5 linked regions of the Macaca mulatta genome follow. The protein of the gene in region 5 interacts with the protein of the main gene of each other region in a biochemical or structural test. Links are inferred from orthologs where the notes say so. Each region holds a gene or a part of one and is shown on either strand. Other genes may lie near its edges. The genes, in order: UBE2Q2, UBE2G1, UBE2L6, UBE2H and UBA1.

Evidence for each region.
Region 1: of the proteins of UBA1 (region 5) and UBE2Q2, one has a biochemical effect on the other in vitro, tested with the Homo sapiens proteins (3 studies listed by BioGRID). The link is inferred for Macaca mulatta from reciprocal best matches to the Homo sapiens genes UBA1 and UBE2Q2.
Region 2: of the proteins of UBA1 (region 5) and UBE2G1, one has a biochemical effect on the other in vitro, tested with the Homo sapiens proteins (3 studies listed by BioGRID, with this or other methods). The link is inferred for Macaca mulatta from reciprocal best matches to the Homo sapiens genes UBA1 and UBE2G1.
Region 3: of the proteins of UBA1 (region 5) and UBE2L6, one has a biochemical effect on the other in vitro, tested with the Homo sapiens proteins (2 studies listed by BioGRID). The link is inferred for Macaca mulatta from reciprocal best matches to the Homo sapiens genes UBA1 and UBE2L6.
Region 4: of the proteins of UBA1 (region 5) and UBE2H, one has a biochemical effect on the other in vitro, tested with the Homo sapiens proteins (3 studies listed by BioGRID, with this or other methods). The link is inferred for Macaca mulatta from reciprocal best matches to the Homo sapiens genes UBA1 and UBE2H.

What each region holds. Positions count from the first base shown.
Region 1 is NC_133412.1:53,962,624-53,968,775, forward strand, and holds part of UBE2Q2 (ubiquitin-conjugating enzyme E2 Q2), read left to right. Parts: intron 1-3,168; coding exon 3,169-3,270; intron 3,271-5,434; coding exon of another isoform or gene 5,435-5,437; intron 5,438-6,152.
Region 2 is NC_133421.1:5,802,727-5,808,878, reverse strand, and holds part of UBE2G1 (ubiquitin-conjugating enzyme E2 G1), read left to right. Parts: intron 1-2,261; coding exon 2,262-2,364; intron 2,365-6,152. UniProt on the Homo sapiens protein: Accepts ubiquitin from the E1 complex and catalyzes its covalent attachment to other proteins. In vitro catalyzes 'Lys-48'-, as well as 'Lys-63'-linked polyubiquitination. May be involved in degradation of muscle-specific proteins.
Region 3 is NC_133419.1:15,849,288-15,855,439, reverse strand, and holds the end of UBE2L6 (ubiquitin/ISG15-conjugating enzyme E2 L6), read right to left. Parts: intron 4,350-6,152; coding exon 4,163-4,349; intron 2,229-4,162; coding exon 2,077-2,228; 3' UTR 1,381-2,076; downstream 1-1,380. UniProt on the Homo sapiens protein: Catalyzes the covalent attachment of ubiquitin or ISG15 to other proteins. Functions in the E6/E6-AP-induced ubiquitination of p53/TP53. Promotes ubiquitination and subsequent proteasomal degradation of FLT3.
Region 4 is NC_133408.1:169,620,731-169,627,549, forward strand, and holds the start of UBE2H (ubiquitin-conjugating enzyme E2 H), read right to left. Parts: upstream 4,334-6,819; 5' UTR 4,195-4,333; coding exon 4,142-4,194; intron 3,167-4,141; exon of another isoform or gene 3,152-3,166; coding exon of another isoform or gene 3,129-3,151; intron 1,748-3,128; exon of another isoform or gene 262-1,747; intron 1-261. UniProt on the Homo sapiens protein: Accepts ubiquitin from the E1 complex and catalyzes its covalent attachment to other proteins. E2 ubiquitin conjugating enzyme that transfers ubiquitin to MAEA, a core component of the CTLH E3 ubiquitin-protein ligase complex.
Region 5 is NC_133426.1:47,237,968-47,244,119, reverse strand, and holds part of UBA1 (ubiquitin-like modifier-activating enzyme 1), read right to left. Parts: coding exon 5,984-6,152; intron 2,418-5,983; coding exon 2,353-2,417; intron 2,113-2,352; coding exon 1,917-2,112; intron 1,201-1,916; coding exon 1,126-1,200; intron 1,007-1,125; coding exon 817-1,006; intron 1-816. UniProt on the Homo sapiens protein: Catalyzes the first step in ubiquitin conjugation to mark cellular proteins for degradation through the ubiquitin-proteasome system.

The sequences.
Region 1 (6,152 bases), on a different chromosome or scaffold from region 5:
TGTGATCACAGCTCACTGCACCCTCAGTCTCCTGGGACTCAGGTGTAGGCCATCTTACCTGGCTAATTTTTTGTATTTTTTCTAGAGCTAGGGTTTTGCCATGTTGCCTAGGGTTCTTTTTTGATACTCCATCAAAACTTGGTCTTTCTTGAACTTTGGATCTTTTACCCTTGCGTGATATAACATCATGCATTGGTCATTTAGATAATAATGGTTCACCGAGATCTTCTAAATGTTGATACATTTGATTTTACAGTTTCAATATACATTCATCAATATTGCCATCAATGTTATCAGGATATACTTAGAAAACAGTGGTGGATACAAGTTTTCAAAAACTAATTTTTTGTTCAAAAACTTGCATTTTATTATAGCTGTTTTATTATTGAATTTTATTATGGCCTGTCTGTTGTTTTTCTTGAAATGACAGAATCTTATTTTTTGAGGAAAATCCGAAAACAAGTTGCAATAACATTGTCAATCATCCTTTCAAGTAAAAATGGTATTCCATTAAAGTGGTTAATTCAGTTCACGACTTAGTCACACAAGGGTTTTTTCTCAGGCAGTCTGTAGGAATGCTCCTATGTACTTCCCATTTCATCACTTGAAATACTAAAAAGACATATTCAAGATTAAGATGTAGTAAAATTTTCACTGCTTTATCATAGACATTCTTTTTATTTTTGAGGCAGGGCCTTGTTCTGTCACCCAGGCTGGAGTGCAGTAGCGTGATCACAGCTCACTGGAGACTCGACCTTCTGTGCTCAATCAATCCTCCTGCCTCGGTTTCCCAAGTAGCTGGGACTGAAGGCATGCAACCACCATGCTTAACTAATTTTTGTATTTTTTTGTAGAGATGGGGTTTCACCATGTTGGCCAGGCTGGTCTTGAACTCCTGGGTTCAAGTGATCCTCCTGCCTTGGCCTCCCAAAGTGCTGGGATTACAGGCATGAGCCACCATTCCCAGCCTTATTGTAGACATTCTTAAATGAAACTGATCTTTTGTTGCTCTTCCTTTTTAAACCTTTCCTGTGCATAGTGAAGAATACCATGACTACTAGTAGTTTGGTGTTACCGCCTTTATTTGTGCTAAAGTGCCAGCATTTTTATCCACCATTGTGTCTTCACCCTCACAGCATATATCAACATGTTAATATTCTTGTAAAAATAGTTTGGACCTGGGGGTCTGAGGGGCCCCACTTTGGGAACCATTGAAATAAGTACTTAGATCTACAGTGTATCATATCTTTCCATCTACAAGATTAAAAACATGATTTCAGTTGTTTTTCTAATTTTCTTAATATGGTTTTGAGGGGTTTCAGTCCAGAGTGACAACATATATGTTGCTTGGCTTATGCTGAAGTTTACTAGACAAATACTAACCTAATAAAATGAGATCCTAAGTGTAGTTGCAGTTTCTTTAGCCTAAGGAAAAAGAAACTTAAAAACTAAAACATTAAAAATGGTCCAGATGGTGTATTCCCAACGTGTGCTGAAAAATTTGAATAAGAAAATGCAGTACTCAATAAGTAGTGTTCTTTAAGAACAGGATTAATTCTGAAGAGTTTCTCATTTAGCCTGTACAGAGATTTGGGGCACAGTAAGAGTTAGAGGAATGAGAATAGTAAATAACCCATTATTGACCAGGTATATTATTAATGATGTCCTCCATCAGTACAACTTATTCTTAAAAGAACATTTGTCAAAATTCTTTAAAAATATTCAGTTTCTGTGGCTTCAGCTATAAATCATAGTTCTCAAAGCAGTGTTTCCTAAAATTGTTTCTGCAAAATTGTTTTCCATGTTGTTCTGAACCTAGTTGTTCTGAAGCTAATATATAATAATAATGGTTTTCCCCCAATTTATAATAGAAAAGCATACAAAGTAACAGAGTAAATGTCTGTTAGTGGGTGAAAGCACATAATGCTTAGTTCGTTAGCTTTTTTCAAAAATCACATGTATTTAAAAAGATATGGGCCTGGCGTGGTGGCTTATGCTTGTAATCCCAGCACTTTGGGAGGCTGAGGCGGGCGGATCATGAGATCAGGAGTTCAAGACCAGCCTGGCAAACATGGTGAAACCCCATCTCTACTAAAAATACAAAAAATTAGCTTGGCATGGTGGCATGTGCCTGTTATCCCAGCTACTCAGGAGGCCGAGGCAGGAGAATCGCTTGAACCTAGGAGGCGGAGGTTGCAGTGAGCCAAGATTGCGCCACTGCACTCCAGCCTGGGCCACAGAGCAGGACTCCGTCTTGAGGTTAAAAACAAAATGCGTGTGTGTGTGTGTGTGTGTGTGTGTGTGTGTGTGTGTGTGTGTATGTAGTAATGGCATTTCTTGGTAGTACTTCGTTTGTGTGATAGGTTAAAACATTAGAATTTTATGGTGTTTGAATTAGTTTTCTCTTTCTCTGTAACAAATTTAGCAGCTTAAAGCAACAAACATCTCACCATTTCTGTGGGTCAGGATTTTGTGCAATTTATCTTGGGTTCACTGACTTGGCCTCTCACCAGGCAGTGAAGGTGTTGGTGGCAGCCGTGATCATCCTAAGGCAGGATAAGGAGAGAATCAGTCTCCAAGCTCACTCATGTAGATGTTGGCAGGATTTATCTCACAGGCTGTTGGACTGGGCCTTTGTTTCTAGATGGCTTTTGGTCTGAGGCCTTTTATAATCCCTCGCCATGTGGGCCTCTCCATAGGGCACCTCATCACATGGCAACTGGTTTCCATCAGAGGGAGCAATGGAAAAAGCAGGAGAAGGGTGACCAAGGCAGACATCATAGTCTCTTGGTAGCCTGATCTCAGAAGTGATGTTATTACTTTTGCTGTATTCTCTTTGTTAGAAGTGAGTCACTAGGTCCAGGGGCGGGAATGTTTACAAGGGTGTGAATGGCAGGAGGTGAAGGTGATTGGGGCCATTTTAGAGGCTGCCTACCAATGTTGAAGAAAATCATTGACTTCTATGAGCTGTAGCAACAGACAGTGCTATGCAAGGAGAATAGCTGTCTCAAAAGTCCGGCCTCTCACATGGTTTTTAACGTGTTGTCTTTTCCCCCATACATTTTGTTTAAATCCGTGGTCATCTTGCCATTTAGTGGTGTGGTTTAATTGCATATTTGGGTTAGTCTGTATGTAAATGTTTAACATAGGTGTCTCTGTGTTAAACAGGAATCCTATCCATCTTCTTCACCAATATGGTTTGTGGACTCTGATGACCCAAATCTGACATCAGTTCTGGAACGTCTAGAAGATACTAAGAACAACAATTCGGTAAGAAAATAAGCCAAGCTATTTTCTTTTTTCCTTATGAACATTACATATAGAAATTAAATGTTAAGAGATAATATGATATAAAAGCACGATTAATGATTATAATCTTGTAGGAATTAAAGAGTAGGTTTTGTTGTTGTTGTTGTTGTTGTTGTTGTTGTCTTTCAAATTCTGTTTACTACCTGGTCTCTCTTTTTTATTTCCCACATGTATAACCTTAATTTCGATTATGAATTAGGGATCTCTTTTTCCCTGAAATCTAACCATTAAGCCAAATCAAGCATTTTGGGTAGAGATCACTAGCCAAGATGGGAAGCAGAAAAAAGACCAAGGTGGAAGTGAAGGAAGAGATGGGGAGAATGACACCAGAACGAGTATGAGGGAATTGCCTTTTCTTTCAAGGTCTGTAAGTGCAGCAAAAGTCAAAGGTATTCAAATATAAAGTTTTATTTTTGTTTTTAATATATAAAGAAATATAACTTCTGTGTTGCAAAAATTTTTAACACTTTTTTTCTTGATTATAAAACTCATGAGCAAGCATTGTTGAAAAAATTAGTAAAATATAGACAGGAAAAAAATATTAAAATCTCCCATAATTTCTCTACCTAATATAACCACTGTTGACATGATGGTTATTTTCTACCAGTATATATTTTTTCTTTGCTAGTAAAATACATATAACTTTATACATATGTTTAAATAGTTGAGGTCATATTCTATATTGTTTTATATCAGTTTAAAACACATTTACTGGCTGGGTACGGTGGCTCATGCCTATAATCTCAGCACTTTCGGAAGCTGAGGCGGGCGGATCACTTGAGGCCAGGAGTTCAAGATCAGCCTGGCCAACATGGTGAAACCCTGTCTCTACTAAAAATACAAAAATTAACTGGGCATGGTGGCACATGCTTGTAATCCCAGCTACTTGGGAGGCTGAGGCAGGAGAATTCCTTGAACCTGGGAGACAGAGGTTGTGGTGAGCCAAGATCACACTACTGCACTCCAGCCTGGGTGAGACTCCGTCTCAGGAAAAAAAAAAGAAAATTACTGTATTTTCCCATGATATCATAAAGTCTTTATAGAAAAATAATCCTCATTATTTTCGGCTGACATGATTGGTTACCTAAAAATATTCAGAGGAACCAACCGGAAAAAAGAGTTTTTAAGATTACTGGTTAAAAGGTCTGTTACATAAAAGTTAATAGCTTTCCACAATTTTAGCTATAATCACATAGAAGATACAGTGATAAAGTATTTTTTCAAGTATTTCAACAAAAATTAAATACCTAGGAATCAACTTAGATGTGCAGGACTTTTATCAAGAACACAACAGTTTTGCTGAGTGGAAGGAAAGATTTGCATTCTGTGTTCCTGTATGAGCAGATCTCATGTTATAAATATGTCACTTATCACCATGTCTTCATATTCGTAAATGTAATTTCTGCTGGGTGCAGTGGCTCATGCCTGTAATTCCAGAACCTTATGATGTTGAGGCAGGCAGGTTGCTTGAGCTCATGAGTTCAAGACCAGCCTAGGCAACATGGTGAAACCCCGTCACTACAAAAAATACAAAAATTAGCAGGGTATAGCCGTATACACTTGTAGTCCCAGCTACTGAGGACGCTGAGGTGGGAGGATCAGTTGAGCTTGGGAGGCAGAGATTGCAGTAAGCCTAGATTGTGCCTCTGAACTCTAGCGTAGGTGACAGAGTGAGACTGTCTCAAAAAAAATATATGTATATGTATGTGTGTGTATACATATATGTATATATAAAATACATAATATGTATATATACCCATATGTATATATGTGTATATGTGTGTGTGTGTATATATATGTAATAAATTTCAGTACAAATCCCAGCAGATTTATTTTTGGAAGTTAACAAAATGACTCTAACGTTTAAAAGAGTAAATGATTAAAAAAAAAAAAAAAAGACTTGTTCAACCAGATGTTCAATAAAATGTTGTGTACTAACCCTGTTCCAGACAGATAAAGGCAATGGAAATTTAGAACCAGAGTCATGCAAATGAGAATTTAGCGTAAGGTGAAGGTGGTATTTTAACTTAATAAGGAAAGGACAGATTATTCTGTAAATAGTCTTAGGAAAACTATTTGAGGAAGTTTGAGTCTCAACTCTGATTTTTGTCAAAATAAGTTATAGTTGGTGTAAACACATCTATTCTTAAGAACAGAAGGCTGGGCGTGATGGCTTACACCTGTAATCCCAGAACTTTGAGAGGCCCAGGCGGGTGAATCAGTTGAGGTCAGGAGTTCAAGACCAGCCTGGCCAACATGGCGAAACCCCATCTCTACTGAAAATACAAAAATTAGCCAGGTGTGGTGTCATGTACCCGTAATCCCAGCTACTTGGGAGGCTGAGGCAGGAGAATTGCTTCAACCTGGGAGGCAGAGGTTGCAGTGAGCCGAGATTGTGCCACTGTACTCCAGCCTGGGCGACAGCGCAAGGCTCTGTCTCCAAAAAAAAATATTTTAAGAGTTAAGGCTGAGGCTTAGCACAGTGGTTCATGCCTGTAATCCCAGCACTTTGGAAGGCCGAGGTGGGAGGATTGCTTGAGCCCAGGAGTTTGAGATCAGCCTGGGCAACATAGCAAGACCCTCTTTCTCTTTCTCTCTCTCTCTCCATATATACACACACAAACACACACACACACACACAGACACACACACACACGAGTTAAGGTTTGTATGGAGAGCCATGAAGGTAAGAGGTAAAAATTAAAAGTTAGATGGACACATGTTTACATCCCCAGCAAGGGGGTTGATGGGAAAGAATGGCAGACATAGTTCTGTTACCGCTACCTCCTTTTAGGAAGTTGCTTCAGAAGATCTAAAGATAACGGTTTTATAATAGCAAAAAT
Region 2 (6,152 bases), on a different chromosome or scaffold from region 5:
ATGCAAAAATATTAGACTTATACATATCTCCCCTCAAATTTCAAGAAAAGAAGCACTTCCATGTTTAAACATAAAGTTTTTATTTTTATTTTTGAGACAGAGTCTCGCTTTGTCACCCAGGCTAGAGTATAGTGGCATGGTCTCGGCTCAGTGCAGCCTCTGCCTCCCAGGTCAAGTGATCCTCCTGCCCCAGCCTCCTGAGTAGCTGGGATTACAGGTGTCTACCTCCATGCCTGGCCAATTTCTGTATTTTTACTAAAGACAGGGTTTCACCATGTTGGCCAGGCTGGTCTTGAACTCCCAACCTCAAGTGATCCGCCCTCCTTGGCCTCCTGAAAGTGTTGAGATTACAGGTGTGAGCCACCACGCCCGGCCTAAATAATAAATTTTCACTGTTGACTTTCTCATATTTTGCTGGCATGTTGTTAAATCCTAGTTGTTGAAATAATACCATCTCTGATTACCCCCAAAATTAATATCTCCTCAGTTACCTACACATTGGTTCAGTCGTTGGTAGCACTCCGAGCTGTATTATACTGTCTTTCATCCTTAGGCAAAGCTGCGTGAGAATGATGGCAGGTAGTACACGAGAATTACACACCTGTTGAGACTCCCACCAAGTCCTTTTCAAACCACTCTACTCTTGCGTGTTCTTTGTCCCCACTTTCCAATTTGAGCCAATGAGTACCCAATTCCACTGGCAGGTAAAACATGATAATTTTGTGGGTGATTGATACGTGCATTCACTATTGTGATTGTTGAGTTGGTTCCTCTGGTGTATACATATATCAGTACTTATTAAATTGTTTTTTGTTTTTGTTTTTGTTTTTGTTTTTGAGATGGAGTCTTGCTCTGTCACCCAGGCTGGAGTGCAATGAATGGCGTGATCTTGGCTCAATGCAACATTTGCCTCCCAGGTTCAAGCAGTTCTCCTGCCTCAGCCTTCTGAGTAACTGGGATTATAGGCGCATGCCACCATGCCCAACTAATTTTTAAATTTTTATTTATTTATTTATTTTTAATTATTTTTTTTTTTTTTGAGACAGAGTTTTGCTCTTGTTGCCCAGGCTGGAATGCAATGGTGTGATCTCAGCTCACCGCAACCTCTGCTTCCCAGGTTCAAGCAATTCTTCTGCCTCAGCCTCCTGAGTAGCTGGGATTACCAGCATGCGCCACTACACCTGGCTAATTTTGTATTTTTAGTAGAGACGGGGTTTCTCCATGTTAATAGGCCGGTCTCAAACTCTCGACCTCAGGTGGTCCACCTGCTTCGGCCTCCCAAAGTGCTGGGATTACAGGTGTGAGCCACTGTGCCTGGCCAAATTGTGTAATTTAAGTCTGTGCAGTTCACCGAATGTCAGTTATACCTCATTAAACTGTTTAAAAATTTCTCATGTGGTCTGCTCACCGTTAGTAGGCCAGTACTTTATTAAGTCTGGTGTCTCCGGAAACATTTTGGGCCCTGCACCCCTGCTCACCTGCTCCTTAAGGTCCCTGTCTTGGCTTGTGTGCCCCCACCTCGCTAGTTCCTCACCTCTTGTTTCCCACCCTGTCATTCTTTCTCCATGCCACGGCACTCTCTTTAGAAGAGAAGAACCTCATGATGCTACAGCCATTCCTGTATGCTCTAGCTATTACTCTTAAGTTAATCCTGTGTCCCAGAGGCTATGGCTCTCAGAGGGTCAACATACACAGATAAGACTTATGGGACCTCTGCTCTCCTTGTGCTCAGAGATGGATGGGCACACAGGAGCACTGTAGGAGCAGGTCCCCACGACTACAGGGACATGTCAAATAGGAGTACAAATGTTAGTACAAATGAAAGTTATTAAGCTCAGTATATTCCAATGAAAAGGTATGATTAGACACTCTGAAAGCATACCCTAAAGATAGCAGCTTAAGAATTGCCAACTTGATTTGATTTCTGGGGTTCCCTCGAACGAGAATCTCTGGGGGATGGGCCTGGATATCTGCATTTTAATAAGCTTCCTTAAAAGACCACTGTAGGGCCACCCAGAATGACAAGAGCCTGGCTGGACACCAGTAGAAGTTGATCTTCTGGAGAGTTTGCTTTACCCAGGGCTTTCTTACAGTATAGACATGAAAATATTTTGGCCATCAAGTAGCATCTTGCCTGGCAAGGTATATCTGTTTGATGGTTTAAAACTTATATATAACATGTATGCTCAAGTTCTGTAATTTATCTATTGGATGAAAATTTTGTGCTTAAATGTATTGATTAAACTTTGCTTTTTCCACAGAACTCAACAAAAATCCAGTGGAAGGCTTTTCTGCAGGTTTAATAGATGACAATGATCTCTACCGATGGGAAGTCCTTATTATTGGCCCTCCAGATACACTTTAGTAAGTATAATGGGACTGACATCTTCAAAATGGAGCTCTTTTAATACACTGAGTTAAAAACTATTTTGGCAGGCTGGGCGTGGTGGCTCACGCCTGTAATCCTAGCACTTTGGGAATGGGTGTGGTGGCACGCGCCTGTAGTCCCAGCTACTCAGGAGGCTGAGGCAGGAGAATCACTTGAACTCAGGAGGCAGAGGTTGCAGTAAGCTGAGACCACACCATTGCACTCCAGCCTGGGTGACAGAGTGAGACTCCATCTCAAAACAAAACAAAGCAAAAACACAAGTATTTTGGCAAACTGAAATGAAATTATTTTTTAAGGAGCAGGAGAAATGGCTGTATTCAGTATCCTTTGTACTGAATTGGATCATCGAAGAGTGTTCGTGTTCTCCTTGAATCTCTAATGTCTAAGACCTATTGCTATTAAAAATAATAGTTTCAGGCTGGGTGTGGTGGCTCACGCCTGCAATCCCAGTACTTTAGGAGGCTGAGGTGGGTGGATCACCTGAGAGGTCAGGAGTTTGATACCAGCCTGGCCAACATGGTGAAACCCTGTCTCTACTAAAAATATGAAAATTAGCCGGGCGTGGTGGCACACCTGTAATCCCAGCTATCCAGGAGGCTGAGGCAGGAGAATCACTTGAATTCAGGAGGCAGGATAATTGTATATTTTTTGGACATTTTAATTGAGAATGTATTATACACATCAGTGTATTAAGAAGGCTAAGGAGAATTTTCAAGATCGTCTATTTTCGTGGTTCTCTACTTGAGTCCCCACTGAATACTGGTTAGAATCTAGGTGTTCTTATCCTATACTAAACTAATGGTCACTTTCTCCTAGTTTGTTGAAAGTTATTGTTAGACTATATGATAACCTGTTAACTGACTATTAATTGTTAAACCAATGACTTAAGGATAGACAACAATGTAGTGGTATTAAATAAGAGTAGAAGAGAAGTAGAATTTTAAAAATATTTCGTGTAGTACATTTCTAGATGCAAAGACCACAGTCGTATTTTCTGCTCTGAGTGTTTGCAGACTAACTTAAATTTACTAGTATGTATTGTTTTGTAAGATGCATCTGCCAGGCGCGGTGGCTCACCCCTGTAATCCCAGCACTTTGGGAGACTGAGGTAGGCAGATCACGAGGTCATGAGTTCGAGACCAGCCCGACCAACATGGTGAAACCCTGTCCCTACTAAAAAGACAAAAAAATTAGCCGGGTGTGGTGGCGCGCGCCTGTAATTCAGCTACTCAGGAGGCTGAGGCAGGAGAATCGCTAGAACCCAGGAAGTGGAGGTTGCAGTGAGCTGAGATAGCGCCATTGCACTCCAGCCTGGGTGACAGAGCGAGACTCCATCTCACACACACACACACACAAAGATGCATCAAGACTTCCTTACATTGGTGACTGATACAAGTTTCCATGCTTTTTACAGCAGTTCAGGTATTGGAAAAAAAGGAAGTGACCTTCTTAAAGCCAACAACTGAGTGACAGGGACAGATCTAGATCTGAGTTTCTTGAGGTCTGGACTATACTTTCTCATTTAACCTTCATCTCAATGGTGCTAAGTGGGTAAGGATTTGGATGCATCAAACAGTTTTTTTGGTGATGGTCAGGTAGTTGTTTTTAGGTTTTCTGAGTTAGTAGCTCTTTTCCTCCTCAGAAAACAGCTGATGGAAAAGAAGATTTGGAGCTATTTCTCTGCCAGGCTAGGCTGATACGTAGAGTTGAACCGTCGTGTGGACATTTGTGTTTGTGATAACGATTGCCAATCCGAAATTTTGCTGATGTGTTTCCTGATAGTAGTTTGCATTGATGAGTTTTACAAATTGAGATAACTGAATTTGGCCACCCCACATGATTAAGGTTTTTGGCAGATAACAGTAGCCATTGAAGACCATCTGGAAGTGCTTCCTCCTAACCTTACTGTTATTTGAAAGCAAATTTCCTAACAGTTTTTTCACCAAAAGATGCTTGATGCAGCCAGATCCTTACCCACTTACCACACCTGGGATGTGAGCCCGGTGAAGTTCAGATCTATTCTTGTAGTTTTTCAACATCACCACCTTGGGAGACACAGCAACATTTCAGTGACAGAATCTAGTTACCCTTGTATTACGTACATGAAAACAAGAAAAACTCTTCTAAACTGATGTCTGTATGGAGCATTGGTTGGGAATCCAGATTTGAGCTCAATTCTAAGGGCCTCATTGAAATTTTTTTTTTTTTTTTTTTTTTTTTTGAGATGGAGTCTCACTCTGTCTCTCAGTCTGGAGTGCAGTGGCGCGATCTTGGCTCACTGCAATCTCTGTCCCCTGGGTTCAAGTGATTCTGCCGTGTCAGCCTCCCAAGAAGCTGGAATTACAGGCACCTGCCACCACACCCGGCTAATTTTTGTATTTTTAGTAGAGATGCCATTTCACCATGTTGAGCAGGCTGGTCTCGAACTCCTGACCTCTCAGGATTAGATATACACCATTTTGTTACAATTGCCTACAGTATACAGTACAGTAAAATGCGCTACAGGTTTGTAGCCTGGGAACTATACGCTGTATCCTAAAGCCCAGGTATGTAAGTAGGCCATACCCTGTAGGCTTGTGTATGTTCACTCTGATGTATAAAATCGCCCAAGGACGCCTTTCTCAGATCATAACCCTGTCGTAAAGCCTCGCATAACTGACTGTATGTTGTGTACCTCCAGCTCCACCAAAGAGAAACACTTTTTCTTTTCACTAATAAAAACCCGTTTCTGGGCGGGCGCTGTGGCTGACGCCTATAGTCCCAGCACTTTGGGAGGCCGAGGCGGGCAGATCACGAGGTCAGGAGATCTAGACCATCCTGGCCAACATGGTGAAACCCCGTCTCTACTAAAAATGCAAAAATTAGCTGGGCGTGGTGGCGCGCACCTGTAGTCCCAGCTACTCAGGAGGCTGAGGCAGGAGAATTCTTGAATCCGGGAGGCGGAGGTTGCAGTGAGCCAAGATCACACCACTGTACTCCAGCCTGGTGACAGAGCAAGACTCCATCTCAAAAAAGAAAACAACACCGTTTCTGGTATTTGGTGTACATTTTTGAAAGCGTTGGCTGTTGACTTGAGATGTGAATCACAGCAGTGTTTCTGGCAGCTCCTCTGGAGTGTGTATATGCTGCTGAGAATACTGGTGGTCACTTCTGGCCTGTGCCTTCCTGAGATCAGTAGCCTTTGCTCAGGGAAGAGAGAGAGCGTGTTCCTAGGGCAGGACCTGAGAAAGGCAAAGCAAGATACAGGGGGATGAAGAAAGGTTTGTTAGAAGTAGGCCTTTTAAAATGCTACCAAGGATCATGTACTTCATAGAATGGATTTGTCGTTGGCTGGGCGTGGTGGCGTACGAGGCCGAGGCGGGCAGGATCATCTGAGGTCAAGAGTTGGAGACCAGCCTGACCAACACGGAGAAACCCCATCTCTACTAAAAATGTAAAATTAGCCGGGCATGGTGGTGGGTGCCTGTAATCCCAGCTACTCGGGAGGCTGAGGCAGGAGAATCGCTTGAACCCGGGAGGCAGACGTTGGCGGTGAGCTGGGATCGTGCCACTGCACTCCATCCAGCCTGGGCAACAAGAGGAAAACTCTGTCTCCAAAAAAAAAAAAAAAAAGGTTGTCTTAACAGAAAGTAAGAAAGTAGTGATGTTCTTGTAATTATTTCAGTGGAATGGAGAGAGTAGAGGCCATCTTGGAATTATTTGAAGAGCGCTATTGGGAGTGAATGTATATACCTTATGTATAAATAACTGCCTGTAGGCCGGG
Region 3 (6,152 bases), on a different chromosome or scaffold from region 5:
ATTAAAAGTACTTTTGTAAAATCCTCTCTGGCCCCTCAGTGCCCGCTCCATACTTGGCCCAGGAACGTCTGCACTCTGGGATGATAAACTCTGGACACAGGGGTTTCCTCACCGGCTGAGGTATCAATAACTATGCAAGGTGTCTGGGAAAGGACAATGGCCTGGGTCTCACCACTAACCAGCTGTGTGACACTGGGCCATACAGTTAACCTCTCTGGGCCTCAGTTTACAGGCTGAAAGGGGATAATGGGAGTTGCAACCTTATGAAGGTGTTGCGAGAGTCAAATGAGATAATGAAAAGGGCAAAAAGCTTTGCCCAGTCCTGCCACTCAAGTGTTCAGTAAGTGGTCGCCAAAAATAAAAAACAAACTTACATTTTGACTCTGGTGGCACTTCTTCTGGTTATATTCCCCTCTTTCCACGCTTCTCAGGTAAGGGCACTCCAGGGCAAGAGCTGGAGAAGATTCTCTAGAAACAAGTGGGATCTGGTTGACTTCCTTGACTCAAATCACCCCATATTCTGTCTCTGAAAAGCCAGCAGTATTCCAGGAGCTTACAACAATTGCAACCAGAAAGTTCTTCCTCTGGGTTAAGTTAATCCCTCTATCTGGCTGAAGTTTTGGCTTGTTTTTGCTTTTCCATTGCTCATGAGATACAAACTCCTGAGCTGATTACAATTTCCTGCTAACTATCCAGTCTGGTTTTATCAGCCATTTGGGGCATATGTGCTGATAAAAGCAGCTCATGAAAAATACAGAAAACAAAACACATCCCAGCCACAACCCTGGCTCACCTGCAGGGGTGTGGATTGGCAGAGTGGACCCCAGCAATCCACTGAAGTGCTCTGTGCCTCAATTGCCTCATCTTTAAAATGGGGATGTTGGCTGGGCATGGTGGCTCACACCTGTAATCCCAGCACTTTGGGAGGCCAAAACAGGTGGATCACCTGAGGTCAGGAGTTCGAGACCAGCCTGGCCAATATGGTGAAACCCCATCTTTACTAAAATTACAAAAATTAGCCAGTTGTGGTGGTGGGCATCTGTAATCCCAGCTACTCAAGAGACTGAGGCAGGAGAATCGCTTGAATTCAGGAGGCGGAGGTTGCAGTGAGCCGAGATCACACTGCTGCACTCTAGCCTGGGTGACGGAGTGAGACTCTCTCTCAAATAAAAAAAATAAAATGGGGACGTCATCCTTGTGTACCTTCTGAAAGCACCTCTGTCCAAGGATGGCCTATTTTTCCATAGCCAACATTCCTTTTGATGTTTGGGGAACATCCAGGGGAAGCAAGGTCAGAAATTTATGCTTAAATCCCTAGTCCTCTCTGGTCCTGATGAAACTACCCCATCGCCTCATCAAAGACTCAGCTGCACTCCAGAATTCATCTTTGACTTTAATGGCTTAAGCAAGATCATGGTTTCTGTGGCTCCCCCTGGACTGGATGCTGGAGGACACACACTTCACAGTCTGAGGCCTGGTCCCAGGAACTGGCAATCTAACAGGATGGCAAGTGGTTTTGAAACATACAGATTTTCAGGATGGAAGTCTGATTTTTCAGATTGTGACTCATCCGTGGAAAATAAACGGTTTAGCACCTAAATCTGTAGATTCCCATCAGTGGCTTTGCTGACTCAGGTGTAAATAGGGTACCCTCCATATGTCTCCCACCCATACGCTCCACTGTCCCCAGGCCCTCAGTGCCTGAGCCCTAGGGGGATTCGAGTTGGCTGCTGGGCTCATTTCCTGCAAGCGGGCCGGCGAGATGACCTGTCTCTCTAAGATGGAGAGCTGGAGAACTGGCCTGTAACTCTGCAAACTTAAACTCCCTTGGCTCTGGGGGATGCAAAGGCTGTGGGAAGGGTGTACCTGTGGCCAGGTGAACCCGGGAGTGAGTCCACACACAACACACACACTCACAGCTCCCTTCCCTCTACCCCACACACACAAACGAATGACTAACAACCTAAGAAAGAAAAAATGAGTGGGGAATGGGCCATAGGGGGCTCTGGCCTCAGTCCATGAGGTGTGTCCATCCACCATGCCAAGGATCCAGTGCACAGAGGGTCAGAACATGAGTTAGGAGGGCCGGTCCACTCCATATTGGAGGGTGAACTCTTCAGCATTCTTTCTGAACAGCTCCGGATTCTCTGTCAGCAGGTCAGCGAGGTCCACCCGCAGGGGCTCCCTGATATTCGGTCTATTCACCAGCACATTCAGGGCCTCCAGGACTGGGGAGAGACAGGCCAGGACATCAGGGCAGAGGGAAGGGGTCACGGCTGCCCACTCCCAATGCCTTGACACTCCACACCCACTCCTTGGAGGAAAGGTTCCATCTCTTAGGCTGACTCTATGACCGGATCAAACACCCCGCTCATTCTTGGTTGGTGACACCCAAGACCTTGACTGATGACATCAGTGGTTTTCAAACAACTACATTCCATGGCTTCAGAGAAGCTCTTCATCATGGGAGCCACTGAAATAAGTGAGGTTTCTGGGTCTTATCCCCATTTCAACAAAAACTACTCTGTTTTCCTCCATTATATTGATAGTCCAAATAAACTTTTCCTTGGGCAAAAGGGGTCTAAGGCTAAAGACTGAAAACCACCATGGCCCCCTGGCTCTTCATCTTTCACAGATGCCTTTGGGAACCTGGTGAAGGTAGCAGCCCATCTCCTGAGACAGACGCACACTCCACGTGCAAAACGGATAGTTCCCAGACCCCTTGAAGCTCATCCAAGGACCACTCCTCTCCCTGCTCCCACTCCCACCAAGCAAAGGACTTTTGTTTCCTGAGTTAAAAACTCCTGAGGTGGTCCAGGTAGAGGATTGCACACTGACTCAGTCACAGGCTCTAGAGCTGCATTGTTCAATATGGTAACCATTAGCCACAGGCAGGCATCTAAATTTAACTGAATCAAAATCAGGCTGGGCACGGTGGCTCACACCTGTGATCCCAGCACTTTGGGAGGCCAAGATGGGTGGATGGCTTGAACTCATGAGTTTGAGACCAGCCTGGGCAACATAGCAAAACCTGGTCTCTACAAAACATACAAAAATGAGCCAGGTGTAGTGGCATGCTCCTGTAGTCCCAGTTACTCGGGAGGCTGAGGTGGGAGGATGGCTTGAGCCCAGGAGGTAGAGGTTGCAGTGAGCCAAGATCGCACCATTGAACTAACTGCCTGGGCAATAGAGACAGACCGTGTCTCAAAAGAAAAGAAAAAAAAAATTAAAATTAAGTACCATTAAGAATTGAGTTCCAGCCAGGCGCAGTGACTCACACCTGTAATCCCAGCACTCTGGGAGGCCAAGATAGGCGGATCGCCTGAGGTCAGGAGTTCAAGACCAGCCTGGCTAACATGACAAAATCCTTCTCTACTAAAAACACAAAATTAGCTGGATGTGGTGGCACACACCTGTAATTCCAGCTACTCGAGAAGCTGAGGCCAGAGAATCGCCTGAACCTGGGAGGCAGAGGTTGCAATGAGCTGAGATCGCACCACTGCACCCCGGCCTCGGTGACAGAGCGAGACTCCGTCTTAAAAAAGGAAAAGAACTGAGTTCCTCAGTTGCAACAGTCACATGTGGCTCGCGACTCAGCCAAGTGCTGCCGTTTGCCATCTGTATGACCTTAGGCAACCACTTCGCCTCTCACATGCCTCAAATGTCCGGGTCTATTCAACAAGGCTAACGACAACACTACCTCACGGGGTGGTGGAGGAAATGAAAATGAAGTCCGCATGTGATGTTCTCAGCACAGCGCTGAAAGTGCTCAGTCAAGTGACAGCTATTCTCATTATGAGGCCAGTTCCCTCCACTGTCATTTAGGACACCGAGTCCCAGAAAGGAACGAAAACTTGCCCAAAGTCCACAGAGGGAACAGCGGGCTTTCTTATCCCGAGCCCTTCCCTGTACAGCCAGGCTGCCTCTCTCGTGAACCACAGCAATGTTCCTCTGTCACAACTGCCCAGGTACAGGAACAGAGGCAGGAGGAGGTCAGTCTGTCCAGGAAGCATCCCTTCTATCTCACAGTAAGTTCAGCCAAGACTCACAATTTTCACCTCCTCTCTTCGGGGCTTTTCAAGCTCAGAATAAGTCTGTGAAACCCCCTTCCAGTAATCTCTACCCAGTATCAGTCCCTCCTCCGGGCAAAGCCCAGCCCCACCTTGGCAAGTCTTGGTGCAAGGCTTCCAGTTCTCACTGCTGATGATGGGCAGGCAAACATGTCCGCTCTCGTCCACGTTGGGGTGGTAGATCTTGGTTGTGAATTTGATCATGGGAGGCCTGAACGGATACTCAGGCGGGAAGCTGATGCACAGGTTGAAGGCTTTGAGGTGGTAGGGAGGTTGGTCCTGTGCAGAGAGAAAAGGGGTCAAGCTCCGGTCTGGTTTTCTTCCCTTCCTGCCCCCATCCCAGGGTCCTAGGCATCCTCTGCTTCACTCCCAGGGGGACACATGAGCCAGGATACGCACAGCACCTGCATTCATTTGACAACTGAGTCATGGATTAGTGAAAATGTGAAATCACCAAAGGGCACTGGCCTGGGAGGCAGAGAAGTCTGATCCAGGCTTTTGCTGTGTGACCACGGTTGAGCCACTTCCCACCTCTAGGCCTCACTTTCCTCATTTGTAAAGTGGATAAAGATGGACTAGATGAGCTCTAAGGACCATCTCAGCTTTCATGGATTTCTGAGATTATGGAAGAAAAGGATGGAACATCCTTTCTTAGAACATTAGAATGGGGGTGAGGAAATGGAGAAAATGAGGAAATCCTAAGAACTCAGGAACTTAGGAAAATACAAAGGTGCAGCTGCAGTGGAAAACAGTATGGCCATTTCTCCAAAGATTAGACACTGAATTACCATATGATCCAGCAGTTCTACTTCTGGGTAGATACCCAAAGAACTGAATACAAACAGGTATTTGTATACCAATGTTTCTAGCAGCCAAAAGGTGAAAGAAAACCAAGTGGATCAATCAACAAAACATGGCATATACACACAATGGAGTATTATTTAGCCTTAAAAGGAAAGAAATTCTGATATATGCTACAATCTGGATGAACCTTGAAGACACTATGCTCAGGGAAATAAGCTAGACAAAAAAGGACAGATATTGCAAGATACCACTGAAGTACAGCACCTAGAATAGTCAAATTCATAGAAACGAAATAGTAAAGTGGTCACCAGGTGCTGTGGAAAGAAAGGAATGGGGAGTTACTGAAGGGGTACAGAGTTTCAGTACAGGTGGACAAAAAGTTCTAGAGATGAACGATGGTGATGGTTGTGCAACCATGGTTGTTTGTTTGTTTCCTGAAGCAGGGTCTCGCTCTGTCATCCAGGCTGGAGTGCAGTGGCATTATCATTGCTCACTGTAATCTCAAACTTCTGGGCTCCAGTGATCCTCCCACCTCAGCCTCCTGAGTAGCTGGTACTACAGGAGCCCACCACTAAGCCTGGATAATTTTAAAAATTTTTTGATAGGGTCTCACTATGTTGCCAGGGCTGGTCTTGAACTCCTGGCCTCAAGCGATCCTTCCACCTTGGCCTCCCAAAGTGCTGGAATGACAGGCATGAGCCACCATGCCCAGCTGTAATCCTATTTAATGACACTGAACTGTATACTTAAAAACGGTTAAGATAGTAAATTGTGTTATATGTATTTTACCATAATTAAACACAAACAAACTCAGGGGCTAGAGTGACCGAGGGGTTGGGAGCTGCAAGGAGCCAAGAGAAGACCCTCTAGACTTTGAGCGACCTGAACACTTTTCTGAGCGCCTATCTGTGCTGTCCTGTGCTAAGGACTTGACATGCATTAGCCTGGGCAACAGAGTATGCGGGTCACACAGACTCCGGAGCCACCATGCCTGGGTGTGACTCGGCTCTGACACTCACTAGCAATGTGATCTTGAGCAAGTAACTTCACCTCTCCATGCTTCCATATGACAATAATAATAGACTTCTTCATAAGGCATATGTGAGGATGAGATGATTTAATTTATGCCAAGGATTTAGAACAGCGCCTGGCACATGGCAAGTACTACATATGTGTCAGTTACTACAATAGGTATAAAAACAATTATCAGCATCTCTATTTACAGAGGAGAAAACTCAAGTTCAGTGTATGTAAGTAACTCACCTAGGACCACAGCAG
Region 4 (6,819 bases), on a different chromosome or scaffold from region 5:
AAAGCAGACACCAGCAATTCTGTAAAATTAACTCAGGCTGCTAATGGATTTAGTGTAAGACGCTGTCCCTTTCGATCACTCTTGATGCTTTAAGGGAAGCTGACATTTCTGCCATACTTTGGAATCCCTGTAAATGAGTAAGTTAAGTGCATTTAAAGTGGCATGCCCTGGGCCAGGTGCACTGGGCTCACACCTGTAATTCCAGCACTCTGGGAGGCCAAGGCAGGAGGAAGATTTGAGGCCAGAAGTTGGGAGGCCAGCCTGGCAACCTAGTCAGACCTCGGTCTCTACAAAATTAAAAATAAATAAAGGGGTGTTTCCTACTTTATTACTGTACTCCCTCTGAAAAGAAGAATCATTGAAAACTCTTGGTATTATAAGTTACAAAATTGTACATATGGTATATGCCAGTCCCCATTATTATCTGATCTACTTTTCTGATTTAGCCTTAATTTTTCTAAACGTTTCTTGTACTCTAACAGGTCAGGTTTTCCTCTCCTCTTTTTACCCCTCGAAAACACACTTGTTCCTGTAACACCACTCAGAGGGCCTCCCCAGCCCCCACCTCTTTTGTATATAAACACACTCTCTTGTCACACACTCCATCAGCTGTTTGGTAGCTCCTCCCCTCCTCCTTTTCCGGGTAGTAACAGGGCGGCCAATGAGCGCTGAGGAGCGGTGCCTGCGGCCTTTTGCCTGCATACGCTTTTCCAAAACAAGCAGCTCTAGCCTTCAGCAGGGGCCACTGGTTCACAGATGAAAGGATCACCAGGGCTGTGCAACAGGGTGAGACGAGTAACCCCCACCAACAAGGAAACCCGTGTAATCTGAGCTGTTTGTTCCTCCACCAGGGAGAACTTAAACCGATATTCCTTTAGGGCAAATCACGCTTTAAGGTCACCAGAGCCCCAGCTCTCAGACAATCTAAATAATCAGCTGGTTGGAGGTGGAAACCTCAAAGGTTGCCAGGCTCTGGGCAGCACAGATCACCAATCTACCTGACTTTGCAAACAAATGGCTGCACTATTCGAGACCATTCCATAGGATCTGGGCTAACTGCAAGGTTTTTTTATTGGGACACATTCCTAAAGGATCCAAAAGTCATGTAAATCAGTTTCTAGGCTCCTGGGGAGGTTTGCACAACCCTGAGCAAAGGATCAGAAGAGAAACAATGAATGAGTCAGAGTTTCAGAGCATAATCACCCAGCAGATTATTAAGTGCATTGGTGCAAAACACTCACTCCCTGCATAACTTGGGAGTCAGCTCTCCTCCTACCAACCCGTCACAAAAGAAATATCACTGACTCCAAACAACCAGAGACAGTGTCTCCAAAAGAACCAAGTGAGGTGGTGGAAGGCAGCGGCCAATTAGTTACACATCCTCTTCTCTCCCTACCCCCACACTGCTACTTTCCTACTATATAGGTTCCCTGCTAGGCTGTAAATTGTGGTGGTATAATTACGCTAGGAGACATCCAAAAATGGGCTGAAACAGGAGACTGCAAGGAAACCAGCTATCACTCCCCACACCAAAGAAATCATCAAGGGACACTGGGGGGCAAGAAGTGCATTCCTTCAGACCTTTTCTTCCTACTTCCTCTCCACCATCTTTCTCAACCCCCAGCCTTTTCACACAATTGTACTCATTTTAGTAGAGAGGGTTGGGGAATTTTTCCTTAAATTTTCTGCTAAATATACCTTACTCAAAAATTGTTGGCTCCATTTGGGCCTACTGATCTGTGAATTCAACAGAGAAAGGAGGACACAAAATCTCTCACCTACACAACACACACAAAAGGAAATCCGAAACATTTTAACTTCCAAACTCCGTTATACCAGAAAATAAACACGAAACAAAGATAACCTCTGGCTTTTAAATCTTAAAACTGTTATCCTCCTATCTCAGATCTACAATTTTAAAGCGCCCCTGCTTTCTTTTGTCAGAAAGGAAGGAAGGTGGGGAAAGAACAGAAGGCCAATGCATCTTTGCCTTTCTTCATCTTCTACTAAAAATAAGCTATGAAATAAGCCACTTAGGGGGAGAAAAAAAAAGACACCCTGCTGTTCTTTGTCTGTTTTCCTCTCCCTCTCCACCCCCCACACCCCGACTCCTAAATGCGGTAATCATTCTAGATGCCACAACTACTAAATGAACAAAAGGCACTGTATGGAAAAGGCATCAGGTCAAGTTAGGCCCCCCTCTTTATCCTCAATCTTTTAAAAATATGTCTATGTACATAATTTGAGACTCTGACAATGATCACAAACAGCTGGAATTCTATCTCCCCACTCCATCCCAATTAAACATTAGGTAGAAATTCGCATTAGGTGTGACAGTAACTCTCAATTCAAGATAAAAATAAATCAGATTCTGCCACCATGTCATTTCCTAGTTTCTAAACAAAAATAAAACCTGAAACTGCTTTGTCTAAAATGTACACACAGTCAGTTAGTTACAAGTTTTCCTGCAGCCTTATGAAAAGCCAACATTACTGGTATCATTCACACATTTACAAAACAATCACAGCCACAAACAGCTCATAAAGAGTTGATTTCACTTGTGCCTGAACATATATTAGGTACGCTATACTTTATTAGTTGCTCCGCTCTAATCTCCCACCCCCCAAAAATTCTAAACTCCAAACCACAAACTTAGAAGTCTATCTACTGCTCCTAATTTCTAGCCAAGTTTTCCCTGAGCAAGGAGAAAAACACCTTATTTCTGAAAAGATTATTTTTTTAAAAATATCTTGCCCGGACAACTTCCCTCCCATCCCCCATTGCCAAACCATATGCAAAAACTACTTTTTTAAAACTTCAGCAAATTCCCTAACTGAATTTTTTGACAATAATCACTGACCTCTACAAAGAAGTAAAACAATCAAAAACAGCAACAAGTAAAAGGAAGAAAAAAGGAATTCACCTGAAGAATTTAGCCAAACAACTTGAGTTATATAAACAAAACCCTGCAACAGGGGGAAACGGTGGGGGGATGGGGTGAAGGGAGAGAAACAGGAGACAGGACTTTTAAACTGTGTTCCACAGTACCACCCCCTAAGCCCCCACTTTCCCCCCTCCCCAAGGACTAGCTGTTCAGAACTCTGGGCTCCCCCCACCCTCTAAATTACCCTTCAAAAAACAAATTCTCCATTTGTCACAGGAACCTTCGCGAATTTCTCTAGCTGGTCCTTAAATAATCAGTCTGGACTTCAACCAAAACCACTGCCTGAAGGGCTCTTATCAGTTATGGCTTTCCCACTGCAGCCTCCAGAGTGCAGAAAGTTGGGGGGAGGGGGCAGAAAATAAAGGGTGTCACTTGGCGACATCAGGGCAAGTATTCCCCCAAGAAGCTGACCCTCACAGAGGAAGTTTTGCCCAAGTGGCCAGTCCAGGGACTATTTTGTCCAGGAGCTCCTCTTTCCCCGGCTGTCATACCCACAACATGGAGGGTGGCTTGCTGGAGGGCCCAAGGGTCTTCATCACATACAACCATGGGTGGGACAGGCTTTGTCAGTGGAAAGGAAAACAGTAGGGTTCTCCCGGGGACCAGAAAGCTTAACAGGAGGGACTGACTGAAAACACACAGAGCTCTTTCTTAGAAGAGGGGGCCCTGAGCAGGCGACTCTCTTCCTAATATAGAAAGGAATTAGGGATAAAAGAGGTCGCTTGAATGACCCCAGTTCAAGCAGCATTGTGGTTGGAGGAAATGGGGGCATCTCAAGGAAGGGAGAAAGGCTTCCGTCTCGGGAATTTCTGCCTTGAGTCCCTCAATCCAGAGCGAGCAAACAGGAGAGAGAAACCCTGAAGATGGGCTCGGTGGTAGAGAGTGAGGCGACTGGTCCTGCAAAAAGAAATAAGGCCGTCTGGGAGTCCAAACGTCGCGAAGGAAAGTCACGGGCTGTGGGGATACAGGAAGAGCGAGCAGCAACGCGTATTTCGGGGTGCTGCGGGAAAAAGGCGAGCTGAAAAGGCTCTCGGCCCCTGGGAGGTGCCAAGGAGCCGCCGTAGGCACTGGGGGAGGAGGGGAGTCTCGGACAGTGGCCTGGAGTGCCCCAAGGCCTTTGCAGTGGTTTCGGGGGTGCCCTGGGCATCCCCACACCGCCCCCCACACACATCCCGAATTCCCCTCCACGAAGGATACAGCTTGACCACGTCCGTGTCCATCCGCCTCTTGCCCGGACTGGGAGATGACATGGTGTCGCCGCCGCCTCCCCGCCGCCGCCTCTCTCCCTTCCTCGGCCCGTCTGTCACGGGCCCCGGGCCCCGGCTCTGAGGAGCCCGCGGCCGCGCCGGCTCCTCGGTGGAGGTGGCAACACCCCCGCGGTCCCGGCGGTCCCGTCAGCCGCCGCCGCCGCCCCCCGCACGGGGGAACACCGGGCACTGTCCGGCCGGGTGGGGGTGGGGACCCCGCGGCGCCCGGCTCGGGCAGCCCCTCTCTGGCTGTGGTTCCGCCGCGGCCCGGCCCCGGCACTCCTCTGCGCCGCGCGACGCTCCCTCCTGCCTGCTCTGGCTCGCTCGCCTGTTTCCCACTCACCCTCTGACCGGCTCCTAGCAGCCTCCACTACAAGCGGACGACTCCTGCTCAGTCGGCCTCCCTACCCCAGCCTCGCTCTGGGCGCCGTGACGTCACAGAGGTGACGTCATCGGAGGGGGCGGGCCTGGACGCTGAGAGGGGTGGGGCGCCGCTGCGGCGTGGGCTTTCCCGGTGCATTCTGGGAGTTGTAGTTCCTCTTTCTCCGGCTGTCTCACACCCTCTGTCCCCTCCCCCAACTTCCCCACCTACTTCATCGCTCAACTGCCAGTGTCGTTATCATCATCCTAAACGATAATAGTAAATAATGGCAATATTATTAAATGCGTGGATTTTAGGTTAACGAACCTCCACACACACTCTGTTTAACAAGCTGTTAATTTCTTTGATTTGGAGGAGGCCAAGGTAGCAATTACTCAGGCACCAAAATCTGGAAATTCCCACACCAGCAGGTTCCTTGCACTCCGCTCCCTCCTTGGCTGGAGAGAATTTGTTTCCAAGGATTGTAGACCACAGCAAGGCTTCTTCAGGCTTCAATACCAGGGTTCATCACAATCCACGTGTCTACGGGCACTATTTCAAAGATTAGAGTTTACACAGCAATGTGGTAAGGTCAGAAATAATTTAGTACTACTATCCTTATTCTACAGAGCATGAGGCAACTTCGCAAAGTGTGTGAACCTCCTACACCAATCTTAAATACTTCATTCATTCAATAAATATTTATTAAGCACTTCCTGTGTGCTAATCACCTTGCTGGACATGAGGATATAATGGTGAACTAAGAAAGACTAAATTTAGCCGGGCGCAGTGGCTCACGCCTGTAATCCCAGCACTTTGGGATGCCGAGGCAGGAGGATCACCTGAGATCGGGAGTTCAAAACCAGCCTGGCCAACGTGGTGAAACCCCATTTCTACTAAAAATACAAAAATTAGCCGGGCGTGGTGGCGGGCGCCTGTAGGCCCAACTACTCGCAAGACTGAGGCAGGAGAATCGCTTGAACCCAGGAGGCAGAGGTTACAGTGAGCCGAGATCGTGCCACTGCACTCCAGCCTGGGCGACAGAGTGAGACTCTGTCTCCAAAAAAAAAAAAAGGAAAAGGAAGACTAAATTTACACAGCCCCCCAGTATAGTCTGTGGGTCTATAGTGTCAGCATCACTTGGGAACTTGTTAGAAATGCCGCTAGAGCTTCACTTCAGATCTACTGAATGAGAATTTGCAGTTTTAACAAGGTCCCCAGGTGATTCTTTTTTTTTTTTTTTTTTTTTGAGACGGAGTCTCGCTCTGTCACCCGAGCTGGAGTGCAGTGGCCGGATCTCAGCTCACTGCAAGCTCCGCCTCCCGGGTTTACGCCATTCTCCTGCCTCAGCCTCCTAAGTAGCTGGGACTACAGGCGCCCGCCACCTCGCCCGGCTAGTTTTTTGTATTTTTTAGTAGAGACGGGGTTTCACCGTGTTAGCCAGGATGGTCTCGATCTCCTGATCTCGTGATCCGCCCGTCTTGGCCTCCCAAAGTGCTGGGATTACAGGCTTGAGCCACCGCGCCGGGCCCCCAGGTGATTCTTATGCACAGTGAAGTTTGAAAGATGCTGCCCTATAAGGTCCTCCAAAAGAAGTGTTATGGAACCCAGGAGTCAACCAGGCAAAAGGGCCAGTGAAGAGTGTTCCAGGCATCGCCTATATTTATGTCAGATTTTCACTATCATTTCAAAAGTTTTATCTTTTCCCTCATTCCCATGAATATACACTTGTACTTTGTCAGATCATGTGTTGTGAGTTGAGCCTCCCTTACATAACCTCCTATGCACACACACCTGGGGCAGCAGCAATGAGCTAAGATTGAACGTCTTTTGCAGCTATCATTTCATGCCTCAAAAAACCTAGGCTTTTTTAAATTGTAAAACATACATAACATAAAATTTAACATTTTAACCATATTTAAAGGTATAATTCAATAGGATTAAATACATTCACAATGTCATGCAACCATCGTACTACCCATTTCCAGAACATGTTCACCATCCCAAACATTAAGCAATAACCCCTTCCCCCCAGCCCTTGATAACCTCTTTATGTTCTGAAAAAGGTGGGCTATTTTAGTTGCTTCTGAAAGGAGTGCATTGCTCTTTCAAATTGTACATTGCTGCTGGTCCAGGTACAGTGGTGTTTAAAACTAATTGATCACAACCAGTTACAGATTTCTTTGTTCCTTCTACACGCCCACTGCTTCACTTGACTAGCCTTAAAAAAAATAAAAATAAATTGCACAGCCGGTTGCGGTGGTTCA
Region 5 (6,152 bases):
GGGGAGTAAAAAATATATATGGAGGGGAAGTTGGGGGGAATGTACAGATGTGGACATAGAGGAAAGATATGGGGGGAGATGGAGAAGATATAAAAGGGGAGAGTGGGGGTATACAGAGGGTGAGACAGGTGGGAGGAGAAATATATGAAGGTGATGAGAGATATGGAAGGAAAGATTGGAAGACGTACATAGAGGAATATGAAGGAGTAGATATTTCAGAAGGAAGATGGGGACCATGGAAGGGGAAATGGGAGGAGATCTGTGGAGAGGAAGAGGGATGAGATATAAGGAAGGTAAATGTAGGGGGCATTACAGAGCTACAGAGGCATTATATACAGAAGGGAGGAGTGGTGAAAAAATATGTAGATGGGGTGGGGCGGGGGTGTCAGTAAACCGCAGCCCCAAACTATGGAGGGTGAAGATGCATAGAGAAACATGGGGATAGATGTACAGATGGGGGCAGATCTGGAAGGAGACAAGGCAGGAAGGTATCACGGGAGAGAGACCACTGGTAGAGATCATACGTCTTAGATGAACAGATCAAGAAGAAATAACAAAACTAAGGGAAATACACAGAGCAAGAGTAAAACAGCAAGTTCTCCTGCGGGCCAGAGAGTGGAGAGGAGGAGGGAGGGAGACAATTTGCCCCAACCTACCCTCTTCATGTCAAAGGGAGGCTCAAAGGAAGGTGTGGGTAAACCTCAGGCCTGGGGTCACAAAGCAGAGCAGAGCCAGGGGTAGAGGACTGGTGGGGAGGCTAGACTAGGCCGGGGACATTTGGGGGTGACTACTGGCCAACTGGCCAAACACCCTCACCAACAGAGGCATTGGCGCTCTGCAGCTCCTGGTCAGAAACATGGATCTTGACGCCAGACTTGGGGGTGAATTCGGGGACCTGCACAGACTGCAGGAGTGTGGCCACAGCAGCTCGGTCCTGAGAGCCTGTCAGCCCGTAGGTCTGGGCAAACAGGTTGGCAGCAGCCATCACATAGTCCAGATGCAGGGGCTAGGAGAAGGCAGGGCAGGGAAGGGTGAGCACATCAGCCTTCGAGTGGGGAGCCACCACCTCCTTCCCACCTACTCACCCTCCACCTGACCCCAGAAGACCCTAGAGAGGAGACTTACGTTGTTGACATCAAAGGTGAGCGGGTGTGGACAGCGTTTGGGGCCAGACCAGAAAGGGGCTCCTGAGCTTGTGAGCTAAGGGATGGAGAGATTTTTGAGAACAGGACCTGAGAGTGAAGGCCTCTCTGACAATCTTGGCACTTCACCTAGGCCCCAGAGGTGCCCCCAACTCACTATCTCGGGTTGGGCACTCGATGGGGACTGGAGCCAATCACAAAATACCCCAACTGTAGGGTCCCACAGGTTGAACCACAGATCTGGCTGAGAGAACAACTACCAATCCCTGGGTAGTCATTTTGTGCTAGACAGCCCATCATTTAACAAACTCATGGATTACCAGGCATTGTACTAACTTCATATTAATAAATACCAGTTAATCCTCCCCAAACCCCCCATGACGTAGATCACTATTATTTCTACTTCACAGACGAGGAAACTGAGGCACAGAAAGAAGTTACGTGATTTGTTCAAGTAGAGTTTAGATTTGAACCCAAACCCGTATTGATTCCTGTGCACTTAACTCCAGAATTTCTCCCCCATAACCCCTACAGCCCTGACTGGGAATCAGGTATGACGCAGCCCACACCACAGTCAGGGTAAACAGCAACCAAGCCTCTTTGCTCAAAGGAACTAGGGTAAGGAAAAAGCAGGTTAGGGTCAATCACTCTTCTCAGATCCCCATGCCTCAGGGCACCTGCCACAGCTGGACTCCGCAGTGGGAGGACCCACACTGCAGGCTCCCATTTCAGGGAAATACATTCTGTCAAATGGACCCAACAACTGGGCATTACCTGGTCAGGAGGGAAGTTGTGCAGCAGCTGCCGGATGTTGTTTGAGTACTGGGTGTGCCAGTGGTGGCAGGCCCAGGTCACACAGTCAGCCCAGGTCTGTGGTCGCTGCAGCACCAGGCTGCGCTGCACAGCCTCCAGCACCTCCAAGGGCTGGGTGCCTGCCAACCGTAGTGTTCGCTCCACAAACTTGGGGTCTCTATCAGGAATCGAAGAGGACAGAGGACAGGATTACACGTCAGCCTCAGGAGTGGGCTCCAGAGCAATCTTATTTTCTCCATGGAAAACTAGTCCCGACCCCAAACAATACGAGGCCCGAGCAGCCACTCATTCATGTGAAAAGTGTGCCTGGTGCCAAGTGTTACTGTGATGAGGAAAGCAGGCGGGATGCCTTGGCTGGTGGACAAGGATAGGGCGAGAGGGCACTGGAGTTACTCACGTGAGGTACTGGTTGACATTTTCTGCTGGCTGCTTGAAGAGGCCTTCAAACTCATCCCGAGCCCACTGCAGACATAGCAAACAGATTACATGTGGCCACAGTTGACAAAATGGGTTACCGCAGGCATTATTAGAAGGACCATCAGTGAATAAAGCAAGTACAAGGCTCACAGTTATTCTGGAAGTGGGGAAGCTCCCCAGCCTTCCCCATTTCCCCACCTCAATTGAAAAACCAGGCCAGGGCCGGGCGCGGTGGCTCAAGCCTGTAATCCCAGCACTTTGGCAGGCCGAGACGGGCGGATCACGAGGTCAGGAGATCGAGACCATGCTGGTTAACATGGTGAAAACCCGTCTCTACTAAAAAATACAAAAAATTAGCCGGGTGAGGTGGCGGGCGCCTGTAGTCCCAGCTACTCGGGAGGCTGAGGCAGGAGAATGGCGTGAACCCGGGAGGCGGAGCTTGCAGTGAGCTGAGATCCGGCCACTGCACTCCAGCCTGGGTGACAGCGCGAGACTCCGTCTCAAAAAAAAAAAAACCAGGCCAGGTGCAGTAGCTCACACCTGTAATCCCAGCACTTTGGGAGGCTAAGGTGCGTGGATCACCTGAGGTCAAGGGTTCGAGACCAGCCTGACCAACATGATGAAACCCTATCTCTACTAAAAATACAAAAATTAGCCGGGCATGGTGGCAGACGCCTGTAATCCTAGCTACTCGGGAGGTTGAGGCAGAGGAATCGCTTGAACCTGGGAAGCGGAGGTTGCAGTGACCCGAGATCATGCCATTGCACTCCAGCCTGGGTGACAGAGCAAGACTCCATCTCAAAAAAAAGAAAGAAAAAAAAAAAAAAAAAAAAGAAAAACCAATGAACTTGATTTGGGCAGTGGTTACAATAGTGCTGTGTATATGGAAAACTGTTTTGTTTTGTTGTTTGAGACAAAGTTTCACTCTGTCACCCAAGCTGGAGTGCAGTGGCGCAATCACGGCTCATAGCAGCCTTGACCTCCCAGGTTGAAACAATCCTCCCACCTCAGCCTCCCGAGTAGCTGGGACCACAGGCACATGCCACCACACCCGGCTCATTTTTAAGATTTGTTGTAGAGACAAGGTCTTGCTATGTTGCCCAGGCTGGTCTTGAACTCCTGGGCTCAAACAAACCTCACTCCTTGGCCTCCTGAGTGCTGAGATTATAGGTGTGAGCCGCCAAGCCCAGCCTAAAAATGTATTAAGATCTGCGTACCAGGCTGGGCGAGGTGGCTCACGCCTGTAATCCCAGTACTTTGGGAGGCTGAGGCGGGTGGATCACCTGAGTCAAGAGTTCAAGACCAGCCTGACCAACATGGTGAAACCCTGTCTCTACTAAAAATACAAAAATTAGCCCGGTGTGGTGGCAGACGCCTGTAATTCCAGCTACTTGGGAGGCTGAGGCAGGAGAATCGCTTGAACCCGGGAGGCAGAGGTTGCAGTGAGCCAAGACTGCGCCACTGCACTACAACCTGGGCAACGTGAGCAAAACTCCACCTCAAAAAACAAACAAACAAAAAAAAACAAAACAAAAACTGTGTACTTTATTCTAGATATGTTATGCCTCCATAAAAAAGAAAAACTTCAACTATCTTACCACAATTTTTTAAAAAAGAAAAAACTCAGACCAAACCAAAAATGATCCCTATCCAGGCCCTGAGGACTCGGCAGAAAACAAGACAGAGGCTGGATACAGGGGCTCACACATGTAATCCCAGCACTTTCGGAGGCTGAGGTAGGTGGATCACTTGAGCCCAGGAGTTTGCAACCAGCCTGGTCAACGTTAACAGGCGCACATGCGCGCACACACACTTCCCAGGAGCCGAAGGTTGCAGTGAGCTATGATTGTGCCAATGCACCTCAGCCTGAGTGACAGAATGAGACCCTGTCTCAAAAAATAAAATAGCAAACAAGACAGATGTTCTGGCCTCTGAGAGTTCCTAGGACAGTTCGCAGTCATTAGCGAGGTGGTTTGGAGTGTACAGATGTGAGAAATTCATGTTCAGATTCCAGCTATGCCACGTATTACCTAGTTTTGTGACTTCAGGCACACAGGATAACATCTTTACCTCTGTGCTTCATCTCTAGAACAGATGTTACAACAGTGATACCTACTTCATGGGGTTGCTAGGAAGAAATGAGCAAATACGTATATATTTAAAGCTTGGTTAAAACAGTGCCAGGCACACGGTAAATGGCAAGTGGTTCACAACTGTCCTGTGAGGTAGATGCTACTGTCATTCCCATTTTACAGAACAGGAATCTGAGGCACAGAGAGGTCACACATGACCTAGTAAGACTGTGGTGGGTGCACAAATACAAACATACCCACTCTGGAACTGCAGTGTCAGAAGGGAGAAAGTGACAGATGGAACTGGTTTTTTTTTTCCCCTTCCCTATTTTGTTCCCACCCTCATACTCCTACTATTCTAAATGGTTTGGCCTCAAACACTGCACTAAGAATTATTCTGACAGCACAATGGTAATCCCTAGGTTCTGTTTCTTGGCCTAGGTGGTAGTCACTTGTGTGTTCACTTTGTAAAACTTCAGCTAGATCAAGCTTGTCTAACCTGTGGCCCGTATGTGGCCCAGGATGACTTTGAATACTGCCCAACACAAATTTGTAAATTTTCTTAAGACATTATGAGATTTATGCACGGATCTTTTTTTCTTTTATTTTTTCAGCTTATCAGCTATCGTTAGTGTTAGTATATTTTATGTGTGACCCAAGATAATTCTTCCAATATGGCCCAGGGAAGCCAAATGATTGGACACCCCTGAGCTAGATAATATGTGCACTGTTCTGTAGGTACATGCACCATACACACAGAATCATCCTGACAAACCAGCTGTTAAACTCATTTTAAGTAACAGCTGGGGAAAACCCGAATATGGACTATTAGAGACAAATAAATAACTGGAAGAGATGGTAAGAATGATTGTTAATTTTGTTGAGCATGAAAGTGATGTTTCTGTTAGATAGAAGTAGTTCTCAATTGGGAGTGATGTGGCACCCCTGGGGACATCTGGCAATGTCTGGAGACATTTTAGATGTCATGATGGAGGGGGAGTGCTATTGACATAAGAAGTCAGGAATGCTGAGAAACATCCTACAGTGCACAGGGCATCCCCTCTCCCATAACAAAGAAGTAACCAGCCCCAAATGTCAGTAGTGCTGAAGCTAAGAAACCCTGTTCTATAGCAACATATCCTCACTTGGCAGAGGCACTGAAATAGTAGGGGAGTAAAGGCTGTTATGTCCGTGACACATTTAAGCACAAAGAAGAAAAATCTATATACATCTAAGAAGAAAATGTGGCAAAACATTAAGAATTGCTAAATTTAGGTGAGGAATGGTATTTGAGTATTCATCATAATATTCTTAATATTTCTCTATGTGTTGAAAAAAATTCAAAGTAAAAGTGAAAAAAGAATGAGTCATTCTAGAAACCTAGGCTGCCTGGTGGGAAGAGAGGGAGGGAGGTTTGGAGAAAAGGTACATCTTACACTTAGGCATGCAACATCTGAAGGCAAGGCAAGGGCCTGGGGGCAGAGAGGCAGCGGCCTGGCCAGATGCCCGGCCTCTTCCCCTTCTCCCACAGCTTATCACCTGCAGGGTGTGCTCGATGGCATTAGGGAAGTTCTTCAGGGTACAGATGGGGATGGACTTCTCAGGTGGGTCCTGGCTGGAACTGTACGACTCTGTCAGGAAGGGGATCACCACCTGCACGTTGCCTTTGGTGCCCAGTGTGCCTGACTCCAGCAGTGGCTTCCGGTAG